Pelodiscus sinensis: one gene and its partners. The protein of the gene in region 2 purifies or fractionates together with the protein of the main gene of each other region. This does not show direct contact. Links are inferred from orthologs where the notes say so. Each region holds a gene or a part of one and is shown on either strand. Other genes may lie near its edges.

What was found. The genes of interacting proteins can lie anywhere in the genome.
Region 1: the proteins of PARD3 (region 2) and PARD6A purify together in Homo sapiens (co-immunoprecipitation; 7 studies listed by BioGRID and IntAct, with this or other methods). This does not show direct contact. The link is inferred for Pelodiscus sinensis from reciprocal best matches to the Homo sapiens genes PARD3 and PARD6A.
Region 3: the proteins of PARD3 (region 2) and PARD6B purify together in Homo sapiens (affinity purification with mass spectrometry; 5 studies listed by BioGRID and IntAct, counting the BioPlex papers as one, with this or other methods). This does not show direct contact. The link is inferred for Pelodiscus sinensis from reciprocal best matches to the Homo sapiens genes PARD3 and PARD6B.

Annotation. Positions count from the first base shown.
Region 1 is NC_134722.1:46,603,674-46,611,405, forward strand, and holds the start of PARD6A (partitioning defective 6 homolog alpha), read left to right. Parts: upstream 1-4,543; 5' UTR 4,544-4,659; coding exon 4,660-4,722; intron 4,723-6,227; coding exon 6,228-6,450; intron 6,451-7,732. UniProt on the Homo sapiens protein: Adapter protein involved in asymmetrical cell division and cell polarization processes. Probably involved in the formation of epithelial tight junctions.
Region 2 is NC_134712.1:231,795,112-231,803,183, forward strand, and holds the start of PARD3 (partitioning defective 3 homolog), read right to left. Parts: upstream 3,090-8,072; 5' UTR 2,690-3,089; coding exon 2,570-2,689; intron 1-2,569. UniProt on the Homo sapiens protein: Adapter protein involved in asymmetrical cell division and cell polarization processes. Seems to play a central role in the formation of epithelial tight junctions. Targets the phosphatase PTEN to cell junctions.
Region 3 is NC_134728.1:18,807,068-18,815,264, forward strand, and holds the start of PARD6B (partitioning defective 6 homolog beta), read right to left. Parts: upstream 3,190-8,197; 5' UTR 2,886-3,189; coding exon 2,820-2,885; intron 1-2,819. UniProt on the Homo sapiens protein: Adapter protein involved in asymmetrical cell division and cell polarization processes. Probably involved in formation of epithelial tight junctions.

The sequences.
Region 1 (7,732 bases), on a different chromosome or scaffold from region 2:
CACTGTCATTGAATAAAAATTTGACGCCTCTCAAGCACACTCGCTATAAACTCCGCTCCAACCTATTCTAACCGCCCCAGCCTGGGGACAGAGCCTGGGCCACATCCTGGCTGGCTCTGACTTTCCCACAACAGTCTCCAACTTCTCCCACCAGCAACTTCAGTTTCCCATGCGCCCTTCCTGGCTCCTTATTCCTTAAGCTGGAGCAGCCCATCAGCTGCAGGCTGCTGGCCCCCGCTCACTGTGTCCCTTCTTCTCTGGGGCCGGGTGCTGCCTGTCTCGCTGCTAGCCTGGTTCCCACTGCTGGGCAGCCTGCCCCCCACGGTCCCCAGCTTGTCAGGTGGGGCTGAGCCAGCTCTGTGTTGGGCGGCACAGACTGCCATAATCTGTCAAGCGCCGCCCCGGCCGGGACGAAGTGAGGCCTCTGGCCTGCTGGGGCGTAGCCAGGCAGCTCGCATTGGCTTCAACGGATAAAACCCCGCCCGCCGCTCGCTGGTGCTGCCAAGAGAACTGGTCAGAAATTATGCAGTGCTCCAGCAGATATGGGGGAATGCGCAAAGCAGTAAGAACAGAAGCAAAAGGTTCTAACTGGAAAGAGCATTAGTGTGACCAGCTTCATTACTTACTGATCCTCACCGCTCTGATAGTTTCATACCAAAGATTGTTTAAAACAAACATGTCAGACTCCCTGACTTATCCGCTGCTTTTTCTTCCTTTTGATATTCTAAGCCCTGGCCCTCTTCCCCTTCTTTACTTAGTCAGACGGGCTACAATAGCTGCCTGAGGACACGTGGATGGAAAGGAGTCAGAGAAGTCATACCCACCGTCCTCCACCCCCTTCCCACAATAAGAATGGAGAAAGGTTCTCATCCCCCCCCCTTCCTCCTCTCCCACTTTTTAGGGAAGAGGATGGGGGTTGGCAATTGAGAAGTCTCACAGGAGGGAAAGGTTACGGAGGATTCTGAGTAACGATGAGACAGATCAGTACTGGGGTAGTGCTACGGGGGAGCTCTCTGCCTCTGGGCTACGCCTAGACTGGCATGATTTTCCGGAAATGCTTTTAATGGAAAAGGTTTCCGTTAAAAGCATTTTCGGAAAAATCGCGTCTAGATTGGCACGGACGCTTTTCCACAAAAGCACTTTTTGCAGAAAAGCGTCCGTGCCAATCTAGACGCGCTTTTCTGCAAAAAAGCCCCAATCGCCATTTTTGCAATCGGGGCTTTTTTGCGGAAAACGAATCTGAGCTGTCTACACTGGCCCTTTTGCGCAAAATGGGAGCAGCATAGTATTTCCGCAAGAAGCACTGACAATCTTACATGAGATCATCAGTACTTTTGCGGAAATTCAAGGTGCCAGTGTAGACAGCTGGCAAGTTTTTCTGGCAAAGCGGCTGATTTTCCGAAAAAACTGGCCAGTCTAGACACAGCTCTGGTGTTTAAAGAGCTGCTACCCTACAGATCAATACAACCCTCCTAGCTGTTCTTTTATTTGTCCCTGCTGGGAGGGAAAGTCCAAGAACCACTGAGGCGGGGTTAGACGGTGGGGGGGAGGGCTCTCTTAGCAGGAAGTCGCACTTTACACAGTCACCATGTGCTCTCGCATCTCCTTTTGCCCACCAACATAATGCAGCCACCCCTGGGGTACCCCAAGGCCACAGCTAACATGCACACACCGACGGCACACAAGAGCCGAGGCCAGGAGACCCTGTGTCCAGGCGCAGCTGTGTGGGGATGGGGAGCTAAGGGCCAATGCGCACTGCTGGAGACAGGGCGAACCGGGCTTTCAAGTCGCTTGATGCGGCAGCCGTCCCTGCCGTGTGCATTCACAGCAGAGCCACCGTCTGTCCCCACGCCCTGGGGCCGAGGTGTGTACCCCCCCATGCACAGCAGCAGCTGCCCCAGTCTGCTGCAGCTGCCAGGACTGGGTGGGGGGGATCCCCCCAGGGTGTTCTAGTCTGAGCCCTGCTGCGACTGGCAGCTGGAGAGAGGTGATAAAGTTCTCTGGAGGCTGCCCCGCGCAGTCACTTAGCAGCCGGGGCCCAGCACTGAGCTATCTGCCTCTGTGGTCTGGGCCACACAGGGCTGAGCCCTCTGGCCGTGGGGAACAAGGGCTCGGCACGGTGCAGCACGCCCCTGCCTTTCTGGGCCAGCTCCCTGAGGTGCAAGCTCCCTGCCCTGGGAGCCTCCAGCCTCAGCTCCCCTCCAGCCTAGCTCCCTTCCCCCCTCGCTGCAGGGAGGGGGAGGTTCTATGGAGCTGGCACCTTCCAGCCATGGCTGAGATGGTTACTGTGGCAGCTGGGCTCCCCCCCAGATACAATCGCAGGAAGGCAGAGCTGGTGAGGGGGGAGGAGAGGCCACAAGACATGTCTCCCCCCTCCAGCCACATGTGGGGGAAGTGTGGGGCAGAGTGAGAGCGGAGACTTGAAGGCTCTGTCCCTCATTGACGCTGAGGGCGGCTCAGGTCCCCAGCTCTGCTCTGGGATGTGGATCTCCAGTCCCTCCCGCCACAGGCAGGCTCCTGCCAGCTGCTGTCTGCTCCCCAGAGGTGGCTGCATGGCGGGAGCGGGCGAGATGATTCCCGTGTCCCCGGTGCTCTAGGCAGCACTTTATACCGCGTGGCAGGTGCCCTGCAATTGCCCAGCCCTTGTCCCCAAACACTCCCCCTCTCCCTTGCGGGGTCACAAGAGACTTGATTTCTTTTGTGCTGCCCGCAAGTGGTCCAGAGGGGCGAGGCGGGTGCCCTGGCTACAGGGATTGCAGTGGCACAGTGGGGCCCGCTCTGCCGGCCCTGGCTGCACCACACACCTGAAGGGCAACTGCCTGTAGGAGCCATTGGGGGAAGATGGGAGCTGGGAGCTGGGGGAGGGGCAGTGGGAGCTTGCGGCACCAGGAAAGGCTGTTCCAGCAGCCAGGAGGCCGTGGAGGCTCTGGGGGACAGATTCACCTCCCCTTCAGCATCTCCTGGGGCGGAGAACACGACCTGACTCTTCAGTGTTTGCCCCAATTAGCCCCCTACCAAAGGGCACCACAAATCCCTGGATTATCCAGCTCCACCAAACCTAAACCCAGCCCCTGCAGGCTCCACGGCCTCCCAAAGCATCTCTGGCTCCCAGCCTGGGGCTTGACTCTGGTTGCAGCCGAACGGTCCAGAAGGAACGGCTGTCAGGAGACAGAAAGCAGGTCACTAGACGATGCCTTTGGTCTGCGGGTCGGGACTGAGGGGCATCAGCAGATCTAGGTGCATGTTCAGCTCACCCAGGCCCTGCTGCCCTGTGCCCGGCCCAGCCACCTCTGTGTGTTCCTGGCTCCCTGCCGTGTGAAACCTGCTCTCCTGCTTCTCGGTGTCAGGCCCAAGGGCAGAGACAGGGAGTCACCGTCCATCATCCTGTGCCAGGGAGGTTGAGAGGGCTCTGAGCCCATTTGCACAAGGCCACACAGCAGCACAGACCAGTGCCCCACAGAAATGGGGCTGGAGCGGCAGCCTGCTCAGGCGGGACCGTGGAAGCCCCAACCCTCCATAATCCCCAGTCCCATACTCTGGGGCAAATGGATCCAGCAGCGTTTCGCCGCTTGCACCAGACCCCCGGCCAGGCACGGGGGGGGGGGGCTCCATTTCTAGGATGGAATGGGGAGCAGCAATCAGGCAGCGCCAAGCACCCGGGGCTCAACTGGAGACAGGGGGCCAGATCCCAGCTGGGTCAATGGGCCCTGGGTCCATGGGTGGCCATGGGGTGGGGCCAAATCCCCACAAGCAGGAAGGCTGCTGGACCCGCCGGCCATGGGGCTAAATCAAAGGGGAGGATGGCAGGACATTGATCCGTCCCGGCCCCCAGGCTCTGTCTGGCCAGAAGGTTCCACTCAGGCTCCGGGGCGGAGCCAGCGAAGCCCAACCTGAAACTTTCCCCTGCTGGGAGGGACGGAGCCGCCCGAGTCGCCTCTGGAGCTTGGTTTGCACCTGTCAGGCCCTAGCCCAGGCGGAGCCCAGCTACAGCTCCACCTGCTAAATCCAGCGGCTGTGCTCCTGCAGCCCCTGGGGTGTGACCCCCCCCATGGCCTGCCCCTACCCCCTGGGGTGTGACCCCCCCCCATGGCCTGCCCCTACCCCCTGGGGTGTGACCCCCCTCATGGCCTGCCCCTACCCCCTGGGGTGTGACCCCCCCATGGCCTGCCCCTACCCCCTGGGGTGTGACCCCCCCATGGCCTGCCCCTGCCCCCTGGGGTGTGACCCCCCCATGGCCTGCCCCTGCCCCCTGGGGTGTGACCCCCCCCATGGCCTGCCCCTACCCCCTGGGGTGTGACCCCCCCATGGCCTGCCCCTACCCCCTGGGGTGTGACCCCCCCCATGGCCTGCCCCTACCCCCTGGGGTGTGACCCCCCCCAATGGCCTGGCCCTGCCCTGCCCCTGCCCCCGATACACCTTGGAGCGCTCCCACCTCCGTTACCTAGGCGACGTTGTCAGCAACCTTCCATCCTGGCGCAGGGGACGTTCTGAGCCCGCCCCCTGGCCCGGCCTCCGCCAATCCCGCGGACGCCCCTAACCTGCTCGGGGGTGACGTCATGGCCGGTGAAACCCCCCGTGGCCGCAGGAGCCGCAGCCAGTGCGGGGCGGGCAGGCGGCGGGAGGAGCAGCCGGGCCCGGCCCGGCCCAGCCCGGCCCAGCATGGCCAAGCACCACCGCACCCCGGCGCGCAGCCCGGAGCCCGTCATCGAGGTCAAGAGCAAGGTGCGTCCGGCCGGCGGCCCCCCCCGCGGCCCCAGGTGCAGGCGGGGGGGGCCCGGTGCAGGGGGGGGGGGGCCCGGTGCAGGGAGGGGGGGCCCGGTGCAGGCGGGGGGGGGCCCGGTGCAGGGAGGGGCCCCAGGTGCAGGCGGGGGGGGCCCGGTGCAGGGAGGGGCCCCAGGTGCAGGCGGGGGGGGCCCAGGTGCAGGCGCGGGGGGGGGGGCCGGGGCCAGCCGGGCGCAGGGTCCAGCGGGGCATCCAGCGGAGCTGCAGCCCGGGGAGGTGGGGGGGCCCCGCGCCCCCGCCGGAGACGCGGGACGAGGCCGCCTGCCCGGTGCGGCGCCAAGCCCCCGCCGGAGCCGGCAGGTTATGCAACGATGCAGCCTGACAGCTCCGGTCCCCGCGTCCCGGCCGCAAACTTCGGCTCCCTGGCCGGGCCTGGCGGGCTCCTGGCATCCACCTGGCCGCTGTGCCCGCCGGAGCGTGGCTTGGGGCGGCAGGACCCTGCCTCGCCCCTGCCGGCTCCGCTTCCCTTTGTCTCTGGGCGGGGGGTGATTTCCCCCCGGGGAGCAGTAAGGGGGGGCGGCTGCTGGGCCGGGGACCCGTCTGGGTTGTCAGAGGAGAGCCGCTCCCCCAGGCCGCTCCCCCTGCACCGGGCCGGGCTAAGTGCCCGGGGTTCTGGCTGCCACGGCTGTGCCCACCTGCCCAGGGTTCCCCGCCTGCGCTGGGTAGACCTCAGTGTTGCCTCTGGCCCCGGGGCTCCTCCAGGCGGCAGCGTGGGCCCGAGGGCAGGACTCTGCAGACAGCCCTGCCGCTCAGCGGCTGTCCGGGCCGCTGCTCCTCGTGGAAAGGTGGCCGTGGACTTGCCTCCTGGCATCTGCATGTGCCAGGCTTACGGTTGGTCAGGGGGGTCTGGGTAAAGCCGGGGGGGCGCTGCCCCCACTGTTTATGCATCAGCACTGTGTGGTGGGGAGCAGGGCTGCAGGGAGGGAGGGGATGTAGTTTGTATCCCCACGTCTGTTTGCTCTGCCTTGCTGAGTAATTTTGGGCAAGGACATACACGGTGCCTAGACATGGCCGAGTGCGGGGGCAGTGCCCCCGGCATGAACTGGGCGCGTGTCCGCTCTGAGGCACCCAGTCCAGCCCCCCGATCTGCAGGGCCAGCTGGTCCCAGTGGCACCTCTCTTCCCACGGCTCTGCCACGCGAGGTCCAGGCAGATCCTTGGCCTCTAGACCCCAGTGCAGCCGTGAATTGGTGTGGGGAGGGAAGGAGCCAGGCGTTAGGTTTTTGGGGTGAAGCGCAGGGCTCCTAGGGGTGGGCCATGTGGCGTCTGTCTTCAGAGCCCCCAACTGATCCCTGTGGCCTGTACATGAAGCTTCCTCGTGGAGCCTCAGGAAGTGGCTAGGGAACGGGGGGACCCGGCTGGCCGCTCCTTGCTGAGTCTGGGGCCCCTGGCTCCCCCGCCAGCCAGTTGCTCTCACGTGGCCCTGACCCCGCCTCTTGCCCCCAGTTTGACGCCGAGTTCCGCCGCTTTGCCATGAAGCGCTCCAGCGCGGGCGGCTTCCAGGAGTTCTACCGGCTGATCCAGACAGTCCATCAGATCCCTTGCGTGGACGTGCTGCTGGGGTACACGGACGTTCACGGGGACTTGCTGCCCATCAACAACGACGACAACTACCACAAGGCCCTCTCCTCGGCCAACCCGCTGCTCCGCATCATCATCCAGAAGAGGGGTAAGTCCGGGCCGCCGAGGCCTCGGGTTCCTTGCCTGGCTGCGAGCTTCCGTCGAGTGGCAAAGGAAATGGGTTCACTTGCTCTGCCAGAGCACTCGATAGCAGCCCCGCTGCTGCCTGTTTGGTGAGAACTTTGCCGTGTATCCGTGCCCGGGCATTTCAGCGGAATGCTGCCGCCTCCGGCCCACCACCCGTGTTGGGATCTCTTGCTGCATGGGAAATCCCAGCCAGCTGGCCCTGTGTTCCACAGGTGAATCGTATCCTACTGGCTCTGATGGGAGCTGTTAGCTGGGACCGTTCCTTTGCTTGGATGGCTGGGCTTTTCCCTTGTCTTACATATAGGAGGGCCAGCCTAGAGTGGACCTCTTAAAAAAAATTAAGAGGGAGAATTTTCTGGATGCTCCACAACTCGGTTTATTCCTTGCGCCTGCCACTGCATTGCTGAAAGCCTGGCTCTGTGGGAAAGTTTGTGTAGGCCCCACTAAAATGTCAGTTTGTAGCCCTGTCCCCAGTGACGGCAGTAACTGTGTTCTATAAGCAGTGTTCTCGCTAATCTGTTCCATCCACTTTTTTTCATCCATGTGCAGAATAAATTTTATGTGCACTGAAGCATGTGTGGCTGTGCACCACCAGTAGAAACAAAAAAAGGGAGCTGTGCTAATCAGCTGGACAGCGTTTGAATTTCTCCAGAGCGAACGCACAAGTGCCCACTTTACAGGGAACACTGCCTGTAGGGAGTGTTTCAGGAACTACCCTGACCTCTGAGGCTGGGCTGTGAACCGGCCGCTTTGGCTCACGGGTTCTGCAAGCCAAAGTCGCTTACCCAGAGAGCACCCGTAATACCGGAGAGTTAAAATCCTGCAGCCTTAACACTCTGCTGTCCTGCATGGGGAATTCAATCCCAGAACACGTTGTTCCTGGAAAGCAGCTGGTCTCTTCCACAGGGACTAACTCGTCTCTCCCCCCTCACCGTTCTTGTTGTGATGTGATGGGCGGCAGTAGCAGTGCTCCGCCCCAGAGATGGGCACATGTTCCCCACGTAGGAACGGTCCATTTGTTTGTTCATTCGCAGGTCATAAGAGCAAAACTTGAAATATACACGCAAACCTATGGGGAACCTGCTGCCTGCCCAGAACGTCTCTCCTCTGCAAGGGTCTTGGAGTGTTTCCAGTGGTCTCCTGCTAGCAGGCACTGGGGAGGCTGGGGTCGGTGCTGGAATGCGGCTTCCTCTGGGGTGGAGCAAGCGCAGCTTACTGGTACAAAGCAGCGGAGGCGATCCTAT
Region 2 (8,072 bases):
ATATATCACATTTCAGAGGTTTCTAATTTTTTTTTTCATAATGTGGCTACATAACAGAGCTTTTGTCATGGACCCCTCCCCGCCATTTGCAAGCATACAAGCAACCATCCTCTCCACTCATTCTCACATAACTTCACTGTTACACATACTGCAATTTGTTCACATGGAAATATATTAGGAATGTGTTTGTAGCTGTCTTTAATGCAATTTAACAGCTGGAAACAGGAATGTGATCCAGTGCACTATGACGAGACAGATATTCAGAGACTACAGCCTGGAAACCATAGATTTATCATCACTAGATTATATTAATATTGTAAGATTTAGGGACCAATCATACAAATATTTACTGTCAAGTATAGTCCCGTTTAAGTAAGTAGCACTCTCAGTTGTAAGAGTACTTTGGGACATGGTCATTTCTGTGCATATGAAATGTTATGCACTTTAATGAAGCTGTCAAAATAACTGCAGTTGGCATCTTGACTTCTTTCAGTGAAACATTTCACTAGTCAATGTTGTGTGATGTTACACAATATACTAAGATGTAGTGATTGTCTCAAAAAATTCTGGAAAAAAAGGAAACAAAAAAATGGAAACTTTGGTTTCCCTTTCCCTGGACACCAGCCACAGGTTCTCATTGGAAAAAAACACCACCCCACTCACAACCTGACACAGTATTTCCAACCTACTAATGCTAAGGCAAGCAGACTTCAAACTTCTAATTGCTTGGTGCAATTTCAGAGAGTCCTGAAGTAAAAAATTCTCAACTGAAACAAAACAAAAATCATAAAGGTAAAAAAATAAGTCATACCCAACTACTTGAGCAAAGCTGGGGGAGTAGGAAGCACCAGATGGAATTTCATTAATCTACTGGTCTTTTTCAGATTGGCCTGGCAAATGTTAGTCAGAAATTTAAAAACATGTTTTGCAGCAAAAAAATAAAATATTCTAAGTGACTACAGAATGGAAGATACAATTATTTGTAAATAACTATGTACATGTAGTCATGCACCAACTCTACGCAGAAAGCGTTCAGACAAGTTAAAACAAAAGGAAAAACTATGTAGCACTTTAATGACTAACAAGTTGGTTTAATATGTCACGAGCTTTCGTGGGCCAGACTCACTTCCTCAGATCATATTCTGGAAGAGAACTGGCATTACCATATATACCATGGTCATGCCAATTCTCTTCCAGAATATGATCTGAGAAAGTGGGTCTGGCCCACGAAAGCTCATCATGTATTAAACTATCTTGTTAGTCTTTAAAGTGCTACATGTTTTTTTTCTTTTGTTTTAGCAAGACCAGACTAACACAGCTACCTCTCTATTATTATTCAGACAAGCTGTAATTATAATTAACATCACCAAAAAGAAAGAAATCAATTACGTTTCCAAAGATAAATGCAATTAACATATTTCCAGCACAAAGGCTCCCTACACTGTAAACTTCTTTCAGAGTAACTGGAAAAGTAAATGATTCTCTGTGTTGACATGAGAATTTCTGACACAGAGAAGAGTGCACTGACTTGTCATGAAGTGATTGTCCTAGCAAACAATCCAACAGAACACTCTTTTAACCCATCCTTTAAAAAAAAAAATTCTCCAGACAATCCTCTCTGTAGTACCTTTCCCCTTTTCTGGCAGTCCAAGAGACATATAACTTTTTCAGATATAAACATTAAATGCCTGCTGTTTTGTCAACTCCCCACATTTCACTGTTTTTTTTCTTCCTGGGCCTGGAGCAGCTGGGAAGCCTGGGGCTGGATTTGAATTCTTTGCAGTAACTACTGCCCAGCAAAGAGAAATCATTGTAAAGGAGACCTACTTTTGGGGATTTATATCTTTATCTGTTTCAAACACCAAGCTTTGAAGATGTAACAAAAGCTATAGCACGCTGTTACACAGTCTTTTCCGCGACAATTAAAGTAACAAGATGTAACCCTCCAAGTGACAGCCAATACCCCAGTTTGTATGGACCCAGGGCACTTGGGGTGTACGCAACTAATAGGAACACCACAGAGAGAGAAAGAGCTAGAGGGAGAGATCCCCCAGCCCTTTTACAATCACACCTACAAGAGACTCGTTTGCTCGTTACAAAATAGTAACAAAGAGCTCAGGCCCCAAAACACACGTCTGCGACTGTATCTCGCTAAAGGGTAAATCTCAGCTCCCCAGCTGGGTTACAAAGAAGCCATGTTCAGTTAGCAACTCCTTTCACACAGACACACGCTCCCTGCCCCCAGGGCCGGGCCGGGCAGCCCAGCAGCGCTTTAAACTTCACTGTCAGGAAAACTAGATCGCTGCACCCAGGAGCAGCAGCGCCTCTGGCCCAAACTCCCCGCGCTTCTTCCTTCTCTGGATCTCGCACCCACCAACTCTCGCCCTCGGGGAGGGGGGCTGCGGAGGCCGGGCCCCTCCAGCCCGTGCCCACGTCTCTCCCCAGCCGAGCAGCCTGCACTTTTCCCCTTTCATCCCCTCCCTCCCCCTTTCCAGGAAGCGCCATATTGATCCCAGGCGCCCTCTTCCTGCGCCGTCCCCCGCTCGCTGCCCCGGGCGCGCACCCTCACCTTGGCGATCGCCTTCTTGTACCTGGTCACCGCTTGCTGGATGAGGCTGAAAACTTTCATGTTGCCGTCCCCGCAGGGCACGACCACCCGGGTCCGCCCGAAGCACACGGTGACTTTCATCCTGCCCCGGCCGCCCGGCTGCCTGCGGCCCCCACACGCTCCCCGCCCGCGCTCGGCCCCCAGCTCCGGGCGCGCCTGGCTCTGCGCCCCGGGCCAGCCGCCAGCCCCGGGCAGGAGCCCGCGCCGAGGGAAGGCGGCAGCTGCTGCAGCGGACCGGCCGAGTCCCGGGCTGCGGGCTTCCCGCTCACATGCTCGGCCGCCGCCGGGGCGGTGCCAGCGCTCGCTGCTGCCTCTGGCCACCTGTTCCGCGTCTCCTCCTGCGCGCAGCGCGGCGGCGGCGGCTGCTCACGCCCGGGCGGCGGGGGAAGGGCCGCGCTGTCTCCCCGCTATGGCCGCGCAGGGCATTGCCGCTCGCTCTGCCTCTGGGCCCCGGCCCTCCCCCAGCCCAGCCAGCGGGTGTGGGGCTGCGCCTCCTGCCACATGCCCAGGGGCGGAGGGAGGGTGGTGGGGCCGAGCCCGGGAAGGAGGCCCAGGGGAAGGGAGGGGGCCCATGTGCTGCTGTTTACACTGCGCTCGCCTATGGGCTCTGAAGGAAGCAGAGCGGACGGCCCCGCAGCCGTGTCGGGGACCCTGCGTAGCCCAGACCTCCCAGCCCGCCCCGGGGAAGGGGTACTGCTGCCCCCGGCCATCGGGAGAGAGGAAGCCCAGCCTAGCGGTAAAGGGGCCCACTTTGATCGCCCATCCTTGCCCTTGGCGGGGGAAGGTTGTAAACCCCCCACCGCCCGCAGGCGCCCCTAGCATTTTCCAAAGGGTGCTTTAAAATGTCCAGGGCTTCTTTTGTCCAGGTAGGGGCGTGCTGCCCCACGCTACTGGCCTCTGCCCAGGGCCTGGCTCCTGGAGGCACCTGAGTGTAGCAGAATCTCACTCTTTAATTTTACACAATTTCCCAGCCCTTGTCCTTGAAAGAAAAGCTGGGACACCTGACCTGAGTGTATCTGGCTACTTCCTGCATCTCTGTGGGTGTTATCTGCTGGCAGGGGCATTGGCAACTCTCTGCAGAGGACTTGGACTATACCAGGAGGAAACAAGTGCAGCAGGCTGGTAAGCAGAAAGAATAATGCACAGGAGCATCTACTTACTGCAAAGCCACACAAACACTGGATCAGTGTGGGCAGACTCCTACTGATTTTAATGGGTGTCCACTACCTTGGATCCTAGAGGTGTGGGGATGGAAAGAACCAGTGATAGAAATTCTCTTTTTCTGGCCCCAGGGGTCTTTTCTGGATTCTACATCCCCACAAATTCCCCCCTTGTGGCTCATCAACCATACTTTTCTGTTGACTGAGCAGAGTCTTCCAGCACCCTAAGGCTGTTCTCAATCATGGTGACTGAGAAATAGAGGATCCTGAACCCCAAGGAACTTAGTTGGTTAGAAACATATCCCCTTTTACAGCTGTACATGGAGAAATGAACCAGTCTCCTACCTGGTGTTTTCACAGTGTCACCATACACACTTTGCTGCCTCAAATCTAGATGTTCTTCAAAAGGATAGCCTTGATCATTTTATTCTTGTTAGCTGAGCAGAGTCAATGCAGTATGACAAGTAAACTGGAGTATATCCTAGCGTTTATAACATCAGTAGAATTGCAGTTACAGCCCCACTGAATTGAATGGGTGTTATAAATGTCACTGGTAGCAGAATTAGAAGAAAATGAACTTGCACATTTGTCAGTAATTGTTCTACTTCGCTTGCAGAATCTTTATACTGGATGGTGGCGCATAAGACAGAAAGCATCCAAATTGATTTGCTGAATGAGGGCTAAATTTTCAGGACAGGCAATCAGAAAAAACACACATTTGTTTTACTTAAACATGGAACCACACAGTGCTTTTAAAAAACAGTAAAATTATACTTTATGTCTACAAAGAACAAACAGGATCTTGGTTTTAAGATGTTTTCTGGAGGTTTCACATAGTAACATGATGCGAAACTCAGTTAATCTCAGAAGACAGTATGGTTTAGTCATCTCTTCCAAGACTGGGGACTATAGTTCTAGTAAGTTTAGATATCCCAAACCTTATACAGACAACAGAGTTATATGTGATTAAGTAGTGCACAATCAGAACTCTTGAGATGTGCAATATTGAAAGGACTCTGTTAGTTATTCTACAGACATCTAGGGTGTAATCCTGACCCATTGAAGTCAATGGGAATTTCATCATTTACTTCAATGGAACCAGGATTTCATCCCTATGCATTAGGAAACTATGCGCAGTTCTACTTAACTGGGTTTAGATTAAAGAGGAGTGAAGAAAGAGGAGTTACTTGCAATCTTTTGTACTACTATTCACAAAGATTCATTGCTTAAAATTAACCTCGGTGTAATTAGACTCTTCTGCTTTGAGAGGAGAGGGAAACAAGCCAGAACTTATTTGATTGTAACCACATATTAAAAAGAATTTGTCACCAAAAATTTTCCATAAAATGTAGGTGACCTGATAGTGATTATTAAGTCTCTTACCTTAGTGCAGTGATGGCCTTAGGACTGCATGTGGCCCATCAGGGTTGTGTATGTGTCCTGCAAAACATTTTTTTTTTACCATTACCCATGCACAGGGTTGTCAGATTTTGCTGGGTTCCATCCACATCATTTTTTCCTGCCAGTTTTACTAAAGTAACATTACTAAAATGACATATAAAGCAAGGGCACATGAAGTGAGGTGCCCACTGACTGTACACAACATTAACAGTGAGAGTCATGCACTCTCTATATCCAATCAAAGCACTGCTATGGTTCATTTGGGACACTGCAAATTCTAGTATCAGAGGGGTAGCTGTGTTAGTCTGAATCTGCAAAAGCGGTGAGGACTCCTGTAGCACCTTATAGACTAACTGAAGTGTAGGAGCATAAGCTTTTGTGGGCAAAGACCCACTTTATCAGATGCATATAGTGGAAATTTCCAGAGTCAGGTATAAATATGCAGGCCAGAATCAGGCAGGTGATTGGATCCATATCGTCATCTCCAGCCTGATTCTGGCCTGCATATTTATACCTGCCTCTGGAAATTTCCACTACATGCATCTGACGAAGTGGGTCTTTGCCCACGAAAGCTTTTGCAAATTCTAGGCATGCAAGTGCAGTGAGCAAAACTACCCTGTTTCCAGGAGGGTAGCTTGCTTACAACATTCTTGCAGCCCACTCAGATAAAAGAGGGCCATTTATGTGGCCCACTTGCTAGCCTAGATTGACCATCTCTGTCCTAGTGTCTAGGAGCCCTAGTCTTGGATCAAGAAGCCATTGTGGGAAGAGCTGTACAAACTCAGAACCAGAAGCTAATCCCTTCCCCAAGCAGTTTGATATAGACAAATATGGGAGTATAAGGAACGAGACAATATTGGTCTGCTTGGTAGGGAGTGATTCCTGCTAAAGGTGGCTCAGGGATGGTGTTGGGACTGCTGTCTCTCTTGCGCTGCCCAAGAAGTCCCATCACCATGTGTTCAGTGGCCCTTCGGAGGGCTAGGAGGAGAAGACAAGAGGCGGGGATGGGGGCAGGAGAGTTGGGTGGAGAGGGGAGCAAGGAGCTCACTGGTGACCCACTCCATGCACAGTCATGCGCTTCATGACAGAGGTCATGGAGGAAGACATGGCCTCATACTGGTGCATCAGCTGCTTCTGGTCAACCCGGCTTGCCTCACAGTTGGCAGTCTGCTCCCAGCACTCCTCATTGAACCCCCATATGAGGGACTGGAGGCAGGCTATCTGGTCCTGCAGCAGGTCTTCCCTGGTGCACTTTTTGCAGTGGATCCCACAGAGCTGAGAAGATGGTGTGGGAGGTGGTGGATGTGCCACACTCACAGCTGGCCCAGCTGTGAAGAAAAGTTACAGGAGCACTCATCCCAGGAGACACTGTGCATGAAGCCTAGCCCTAAACTCTGAGCTGACACTGAAGGTCTCAGTTCAGACTATGGCAATTTGTTTTGAGCAAGGCCATCTGTTTCCTACACAGTGGGCACTTTCCTGCAGGGGCGTCCTGCAGCCATCCCAGTGGAGCATTGCTACAGCCATGGCCCAGGAGCCTGTGGTCAGGAAGGGGGATGGGGCAGCTTGGCTTCCTTCCATTTCCTGCACACACCAGGTCCAGCACTTTGTGGACTTAGGTGCTTTTGAAATTTGTACCTTAAGTGACATAGAAACCAAATCCTACTTTCAAAAGGGACTTAGAGACTCCGGAGCCAAGTCTCACCCACTGGGGACTTAATATGTTAAGTATAACACCTAACGTTTAGGCTGCCTGGATTGCAAGCCCTTTGGAGCAGTGTTTTTATTCTGTGTATGGATAACACCTACCACAATGGAGTCCTGGTCCAAGACTAGGGCTCCTAAGCACTATGGTAATAAAGAACAGTGGAATCCATGGCCCTGCATGTGGTACCCAGGCAGCCAGTACAATGCTATCATAATGCATAGGAAGAATTAGGCACCTGCGAATGGAATTCACAAAAGCCAGCACACTGAGCACAGAGCCACCTAAGCAGGAAATGCTGAGGATAAGGAAAACCACCTTCCCCCACACAGCCAATGGTGTTAAGTGCCTAGCTCTGGGCTGCAGAGAGGTGCCTCCCTCCAGTTGGGATTCACAGGCATGAACACCCTCTGGAAGTAGGTGTCTAAGTTAGTCAGCCCTTTTTCATGAAAAACCTGTTGAAGCTGTTCTGCTTTGTAGGCACTTTCTAAATATTCCTTGAATTAAACTAAAGAGAGAGAGAGAGAGATGCTATGTCCCACTGGGAAACCCAGACTGCAGTTTCTTCTCTAATAAATATTATACAAAGGGGAGCAGCTTCAATAGCAGAGATTGAGAAAGACCCAGCTCGGTACCCTAGAGCCCAGCACTGAAGTCACTCACTTGGGAGCAGTATCAAGTCTCTGTGCCACGTCAGACAGAATGGGGATCCAGATCTGATCCATCAAGCCTTTCAATCAGGCTGGGCGCACCACCAAGGCTCAGAGCTCCCTGCTCCTTCTGCCTATCTGCACTGGGAAAGAGAGGGAAGATGATACAGAGGCAGCAGCAAGGAATGGCAGGGTGCTCCTCGGTAGTGGGGCCGGAGTGCACTGGCTGCCAACCCTGCCCCCGGGTACTATAGAGTAGTTGACTAACCAATAAGAATTCACGAGGTTACTTGACTCTTCAATTAACCGATATTTAACATCCCTAGTCTATACTGCAGTTTTATAGTCCTGGAGCCAAGCCCCATCAACCTGAGTCAAAGTGAGCTACACTCAGACACAGTGCCATGGGATTTTGAATCAGAGAGTAGATGTGCCCAGAGCCACTTAGGTGCTTTCTAAAATATTATGCTTAGGCCCCAGTTCTGCTAACTTGTCCATTTGCTTAAGTTTATGCTCTTAGAGTAGTCCCACTGATTTTAGTGAGACTG
Region 3 (8,197 bases), on a different chromosome or scaffold from region 2:
CAAGGTTTGTTGGGAGAAACTGAAGAATTCATATCTCCTCCCACCCTAATTTTCTGTCACTTCTGCTCCTGCCTAAAATGGAGAGGCAAAGAGGGGATACAAACCCATTCCTCAACAGCTTCATAGCCGCCCTATTTACACTAACAAGATTCAGGTTTTTATTTCACTGCCAGTTCAGCACTACTGACAAAATGCTCCACCATTCAGTTCTACTGATAGTGGAAATGTTGGTATATATACACAACTCAAAGAACCTGTCTACATGAGGATTTAGTTTGTGGCAAGTTGGGATGTGAACCTACCTGTACCAGATTGCTCCATTCCTCTTGTGTGAGCACTACAATTGTGTTTTAACAATTCACTAATACACTTTGCACTAGTCCTCTTCCAAAGCAGACTGTACTTTCTTCAGTTCCCCAATCTTCAAGATCTTTCACTCCTACATTATACTATTTGTATTACAACAGTACTAGAGACCAAAAGCAGCAACATGCCCCATTGTGGTAAGCCCTGTTTAAAGGTAATGAGTGAATACAGTCTCTGCCCCCCAAAAAGTCTATAATTAGGAAAAAATGTTTTTAAAATGTGATAGCTAATGTATTTAAATACCTTACATGAAACAAATAAGGTGGTAGCTTCAAGGGACACAGGGGAGAAAAAGCAAACAATAAAACTACCCTGTTTTTTCATAGTCTGGCTGGGTATACAATTTGTAGGTGTAATAAGTCATCAATAGCCATCAAGTCACCATCTGCCTTCTCATTAATTGATTAGTTAGCTGTCTCTGCAAATAACCCTGTTCTATAGATACTATAGCTACACTAACATTAGTGAACAATAAGGTAGAATAAATGACTCATTCTGATTTCAGTCACACCTGTGTATAACAAAAGTAAATGAATTCCTGCAGGAGGAACTCCCTTCAGTCAGGAGCACTGTGTTTATTATCTGAGGGGTAGCCTCTTTAGTCTGTTTCAGCAAAAACAAGGAGTCCTGTGGCATCTTAATGACTAATATATTTGGCCATAAGCTTTAAAAAAAATAAAACCTGCTCATTAACTGTTGTCCCAAGAATTTGAAATATGCAACATCCAAGGAATTTCCCACGTAGTACGTACTAGAAGACTTACGCAGAGATTAGATGTCTTAACTTCAAATTCACACCTTAGTTTGGATTTACTTTTTCCAGCTATCCTTCTGTAGACAATTCCCAAGTTGCCTAATTCAATTTATGTGTGCAGCATTATAGTCATGTTAGTCAGAGGATATTAGAGACACAAGGTGCATGAGACAGTATTTATTACTGAACCAACTTCTGTCATAGAAGAGCTCTGTGTAAGCTTGACTCTCACCAAAAGATACTGCCTCATCCACATTCTCTAATTCAAATTAACTAAAATGATATGAAACACTCATTTAACACCCAGTTTAGACACAGTTCAACACCTTGACAATTGTGGGTTATATGACCAGCTAACAAGATTCCAGAGCCACTGTATTACATCAAAATATTCTCTATTCTAGGATAAAAGACTTTTTTTCCCCAAAAAAACCACTTTAGCAGGGCAAATTATTTTTGTTCTGTTCACACTAGAGTTTTAAATCATTAAAATATTTTAATTAACATATTTCTAAAAAGACACTTTTATCCTAGACTAGTCCAGAGATGTGAATGGTTAAATGTGGGGCTGGAATAACCCCCCACAGGCAAGGGACTGTTCCAGCCCTGCTGGGCCTGTTCCAGGCAGGGGGTGCTCCAGCTCACCCCCTGCAGACCATACCTCCCCCCACCTGCTCCCATAGCATTTAACTGGTCAACAGATTAACTGAGATTTTACATCCCTAGTGTCGTCAAAGCATAATGTTAGGGATGTTTCAAATCATGATAGAGCTAAACTGATTTTTTTGAGGCACCCCTTTTTTCCTAGTAATATTCCTATATTGTCTGCATTTGTTTTCCTGTGTATTCTGTTAGCCCATAGTCAATTTCAGGGCGAACTTTGTGTCTTGTTTTACACTTCAGTGTAGTAACTTGATGGAAAGCAGTGTGCCCGCCCAATCAGTAAAGTCATGCTGTAACTTTGGTTAAAGAATATCAAGTTTTGCAGCGAACAATCAACCACAATTGTTGGAGACATGGGGGAAAATATGATGAAATGCAATCTGACAAGGAGGCTAATACTGAGAGGACACAGACTATAGGGAGGATGTCAAGCATTAATTATTACTAGCTTCAACACTATGGTGAGAATTGTTAGAATAATAATCAAGGCAGTGGCACAAGACATGAAGGACAGAGTAAAGGTAACCGCTCTGGATCTCCTGAAAACACCTCTACTCTTAGGCAACCCGGATCTCCCTTGTAGACACACTCCCCCAGCCCCAGGAATCTCCCTCTTACTGCTACCTTCTGCAGGTGAGTCAGCAGCTCTCCCAGTTCGCCCTCACCCTACAATGCAGAACCACTCCTGGCCCCGTGCCGGGCAACTCACAGGCAGCCCTGGATGTGTTCCGCCAGGGGGTTCAGATGCCTCAGTGCTCCCCTCCTGCTGGGCCCCCACCTCCAATGAGGCTCGCCCTGCCTCCAGCGGCCTCTCAAGGAGTCACGGATCCAGCCCCTCTCCCCCCGCTTCAAGCTCGCTCTGCCCCCGGCGGCGCCTCGCGGATCGCGGCCCCGCTTCTTCCCCTCCACCCCCGCCGCAGCTCGCTCTGCCCCCGGCAGCCGCTCGCGGAGCGAGCCCACCCAGACCCACCGGAGCGAGCCCTGCCCCCCCCCCCTTTCCAAAAGGCTCGCTCCGCCCTCTGCGGCCGCGACCCACCTTGCTCTTCACCTCCATGGTGCCGAGGGCCCGGCTGCCCCCCGCGCTGCGGTAGGTCCGGTTCATGCCGCCACACGGCCGGGAGTCGCCTTCGCCCCGTGTGTCCCCGGGCGCGCTGTGGGGGGAGAAGCCGGGCAGCTCTGCGCCCAGACACAACCTGCCGCCACCGCCGCGAAGCCGCCTCCTCACACACCCAGAAGGAGGAGCCGCCCCGGGAGCGCCTAGCTGCGCCTGACACCTGCCGCTCCGTGAAGGGATTGGGTATGGGGGGGGGAGGAGAGACAGCGCATGCGCGCCGGGCACTCACAGCAGGGCGGAGGAGTTTCGGTGCACCTGCCACGAGCGCGCGTGCGTACCCGTCGCCCGCCGAGGGAGAAGGAAAGAAAGCCCTAGGCGCACCTGCAGCCAGTGCGCATGCGTCCAACGCATTTCTCCCCTAACACTCTCCCCGTTCCTAAGTGGAAGGCGCATGCGTGGCTGTGAATGCTATGCATGGGAGTGGGGCGGGAGGTGTCAGTCACTGGGCAGAGGTTATTGTAGATAAATACGCACGCTCAGAACTGCGGGGGAGGGGCACAGCACGCAGCCAATCGTGGCATTGCAGAGGCCCAGTAACCCCCAGTGCTGGCATTGCAGGGGGGCACAGTAACCCCGGGTGCTGGGACTATGGTAGATACAAGGCACCGCCCAATAGTGGGATTAAAGAACTCGTCCTCACAATTCCGGGATTATGAGCACCACAGACGAGTGCATCATCTATGGTGGGATTACAGAGGGTCAAAGTACACCTGCGATGCTGGGAATGTGTGAATGGAGACAGAATACACCTCAGGGTGTTGTGAGGGAGTATGGGTGCAACTGGTTTTATCTACAAATAAAGATAATCAATTTTCCAAGGCTCTTTACTTTTAGGGATTCCTGCACGTGGTTTTGTGAAGTTTAGAAAGGACCACTAAATTATCTAGTCTGTCCTGCACTTCACGAGCCATCCGTTTTCACTCAAATCGCTCTTTTGAGTCCAATGATTTCCATTAAAAAGCATTTCAGTCCTCAGAAAATAGACTGTCTTGTTTCACGGGCAGAGAACAGGCTTCTGCTAATGCCCCAAGTCCCTTCAATTGAGGGAATTGATTGGGTGGCACATGCCCAGGTGATCCTAGGAAGTGATCCAGGCCCAATGCTATTGAGGAAGTTGAAAAACTCCCAAGGTCTCTGCCAATCTGACTTGGCAGGTAAATTCTTTCCAAACCCCAGTTCTAAGGATCACTTAGCGCCTGAAAATGTGAACAAGACACCAATCAGGCATCTAAACACAATTATTGGTACCATCTCAGATCACTGAGGACTTGTTTCCACTTACCCTGAGATCAACACTCTGGAGATCAATCTTTCCAGGTTTAATTTAGTGGGTCTAGTAAGAACCTGCTAAATTGACAGCTGATAGCTTCCCTGTTGATCCCGGAACTCCAGCGGATCACAAGCTGTAAGGGAAATCAGCAGGAGAGTTTCTCCCTTCAACCTCCTGCAGTGGGGACACCACAGAAATTTGACCTTAGATATATTGACTCCCGCTACATTCTCATAGCTGGAGTTGTATACCTTAGGTTAACTTTCTCCCCTAGTATAGACTTGGCCTGAGCCACCCAATCAACCAATATCTTGTCCCAGATTACAGTTGTACATGGGAAGGAAAAAACCTTCAGTATCCCCTTCTGGCAACCAATGAAACCCTGAAGCATGACACTAGATTATAGCCATTTTTTAGAACAGAGCTACATGCTTGGAATTGATGTCAGCTGCAGGACCAAAAAAGGAAAAGGAACCAACTAACAGACTGATCCATCTCTCCAATATCTCAGGGTCTGCAATCTGTAACGTTTTGCATACCCAAAATAGTTACACAAGTCTGATTTAAATTGGTTTAAAAGTTAAACTGGTGCAATACACTGGCATACTTCAAAAGTGTTTTATTTTAGAGATATTACCAGATCCAACAATATTCTCTATACTTAAAACGGAGAATTCCACTAAAACCAGTAATATCTCTGAAAAGTGAATGAATTTTATAAGTGTATTGGCTATATATTGGTTTACTCCTGATTTGTATTTTATATTTAGATATAAATCAGGATTCAACTAATAAATGAACATCCATACATAAAGTTGTGTCAGTTTAACTAAATCAGTTCAAAATCATATATTTGGTTAAACCAGTACAATTTTGCATGTAGATTCGAGTATAAGGCCCAGCCCTACCCAAGACAAAGAAACTGCAGCTTTCATGCTGGTTCTGAATAATGCAGAGATTATTGTCTAGTGTTTGACTAGTGTCTGTAAATAAGTAGGTGTCCAGTTCAAGCCTTATGCCTTCTTTCATCTATGGTTTCTTTACAATAGCAAAAGGCCAAGGAATGCTTGGATGACATGCTACTCCTAAACTACATCTAGAACCTGATTCTTCCCTCACACTGATGCAAATAGAAGTCAGTGGAATTATGACTATGTGAGCAAGAGTGGAATCAGGCCTCTAATTCTATTGTTTTTCTATTACTAAAAAACTAAAGAGCAGCAGCTCCACCTGTTTTCTTCTTTCCATGCCTACCATTTTCTTCAAGTAACTTGCTCAGCTCTGAGGGTACGTCTACACTACCACCCTAGTTCGAACTATGGTGGCTAATGTAGTCAACCGAAGTTGCAAATGAACCCCGGGATTTAAATATCATAGAATCATAGAATAATAGGACTGGAAGGGACCTCGAGAGGTCATCGAGTCCAGCCCCCTGCCCTCAAGGCAGGACCAAGCTCCATCTACACCATCCCTGACAGATGTCTATCTAACCTGTTCTTAAATATCTCCAGAGAGGGACATTCCACCACCTCCCCTGGCAATTTATTCCAATATTTGACCACCCTGACAGTTAGGAATTTTTTCCTAATGTCCAATCTAAACCTCCCCTGCTGCACGTTAAGCCCATTACTCCTTGTCCTGACCTCAGTAACCAAGAGGAACACATTTTCTCCTTCCTCCTTGTGACACCCTTTTAGATATTTGAAAGCCGCTATCATGTCCCCCCTTAATCTTCTTTTTTCCAAACTAAACAAGCCCAGTTCATGAAGCCTGGCTTCATAGGTCATGTTCTCTAAACCTTTAATCATTTTTGTCGCTCTTCTCTGTACCCTTTCCAATTTCTCCACATCTTTCTTGAAATGTGGCGCCCAGAACTGGACAAAGTACTCCAGCTGAGGCCTAACTAGTGCAGAGTAGAGCGGCAGAATGACTTCACGAGTTTTGCTTACAACACACCTGTTGATACAACCTAGAATCATATTTGCTTTTTTGGCAACAGCATCACACTGTTGACTCATATTCAACTTGTGGTCCACTATGACCCCTAGATCCCTTTCTGCCATGCTCCTTCCTAGACAGTCGCTTCCCATCTTGTATGTATGGAACTGATTGTTCCTTCCTAAGTGGAGCACTTTGCATTTCTCTTTATTAAACCTCATCCTGTTTACCTCTGACCATTTCTCTAACTTGCTAAGGTCATTTTGAATTATGTCCCTATCCTCCAAAGAAGTCGCAACCCCACCCAGTTTGGTATCATCTGCAAACTTAATAAGCGTACTCTCTATCCCAATATCTACATCATTGATGAAGATATTGAACAGTACGGGTCCCAAAACAGACCCTTGAGGAACTCCACTTGTTATCCCTTTCCAGCAGGATTTAGAACCGTTAACAACAACTCTCTGACTACGGTTATCCAGCCAATTATGCACCCACCTTATCGTGGCCCTATCTAAGTTATATTTGCCTAGTTTATCAATAAGAATATCACGCGAGACCGTATCAAATGCCTTACTAAAGTCTAGGTATATGACATCCACCGCTTCTCCCTTATCCACAAGGCTCGTTATCCTATCAAAGAAAGCTATCAGATTAGTTTGGCATGACTTGTTCTTCACAAACCCATGCTGGCTATTCCCTATCACTTTATTACCTTCCAAGTGTTTGCATAGGATTTCCTTAATTACCTGCTCCATTATCTTCCCTGGGACAGACGTTAAACTGACCGGTCTGTAGTTTCCTGGGTTGTTCTTATTCCCCTTTTTATAGATGGGCACAATATTTGCCCTTTTCCAGTCTTCTGGAATCTCCCCTGTCTGCCATGATTTTTCAAAAATCATAGCTAAAGGCTCAGATACCTCCTCTATCAGCTCCTTGAGTATCCTGGGATGCATTTCATCAGGACCTGGTGACTTGCTTCACCCGGGCTTCATTTGCATCTTGCCGGGCGCCGCCATTTTAAATCCCCGGTAGTTCGGACTCTGTGCCCGCGGCTACACGCGGCACGGAGTAGGTAGTTCAAATTAGGCTTTCCACGAGTAGTAACGGTATTTTGAATTAGAAAGCCTAATTCGAACTACCTACTCTGTGCCGCATTTGCAACTTCGGTTGACTACATTAACCACCCTAGTTCGAACTAGGGTGGTAGTGTAGACATACCTTGAGAGACCATGAAGAGGAGAATGGAGGTGGCTTACCAGAGAAGAACCCAGCCTTCCCAAGGATTTGCAGAGCAATTGAACTAACTGGCCTTTTTCTGATGTGAAAAAGCCACCAGGAAGCTCCCAGCACATCCATGCAGATGATGTTATTGCTATGTATTTATTTGGTCTCTTTTAAGAATATTTTTTTCTTCTCTTGCATTCCTGGAGTTATTAGAGTTCCTCACAGTGGGGTGTGGCTTCACGCTTTCTGAGACAGCGAGGGTGATTTAATCTCAGATCATTGAAACCAACCTCATAAAAGGGTATTAATCACTAGGTAGCTTGCATCACAAGGAGCTGATGTTGTGCAAGGAAGGAATGTGACAGAACAGTTTGATTTGAGATAAAGGTAAGGAGAGGGGGCAGGACTTCCATGCCAGGCATAGCACAAGATTACAGAGCTATTTTAGTCACAAGTTCCATAAAACCTGTGATTCAGACTTACTCAAACTATTCACGGCCCCCAATGAAAGGAATGTTCAGAACCAGTTTACAGCCGGAAGAAAGGATTGTTAATTTTCTGTTGTTTTTTAACTCCCTCTTATCCACATTTACCAGCAAGCTCAGATCTCTAGTACGATCAAGTATTCCTCCATAATAAAGCGCTCTCACCCTAGGAGTTACGACTTTTTAAATAATGTGTTATTTCAGACACTCAGTAGCTGAAAGGTTGCACTGAGGGATAGAATTCAGACTGAAGGAACTGGAAGGTTTGGTTTATATACACTCAATTCTTAGTCACTATAGTGACTGGCATTGTTTAAATACCATATATAGATCTTGATTCTGATCACACTAGCTACGTCTACACTGCACCCCTCTTGCTC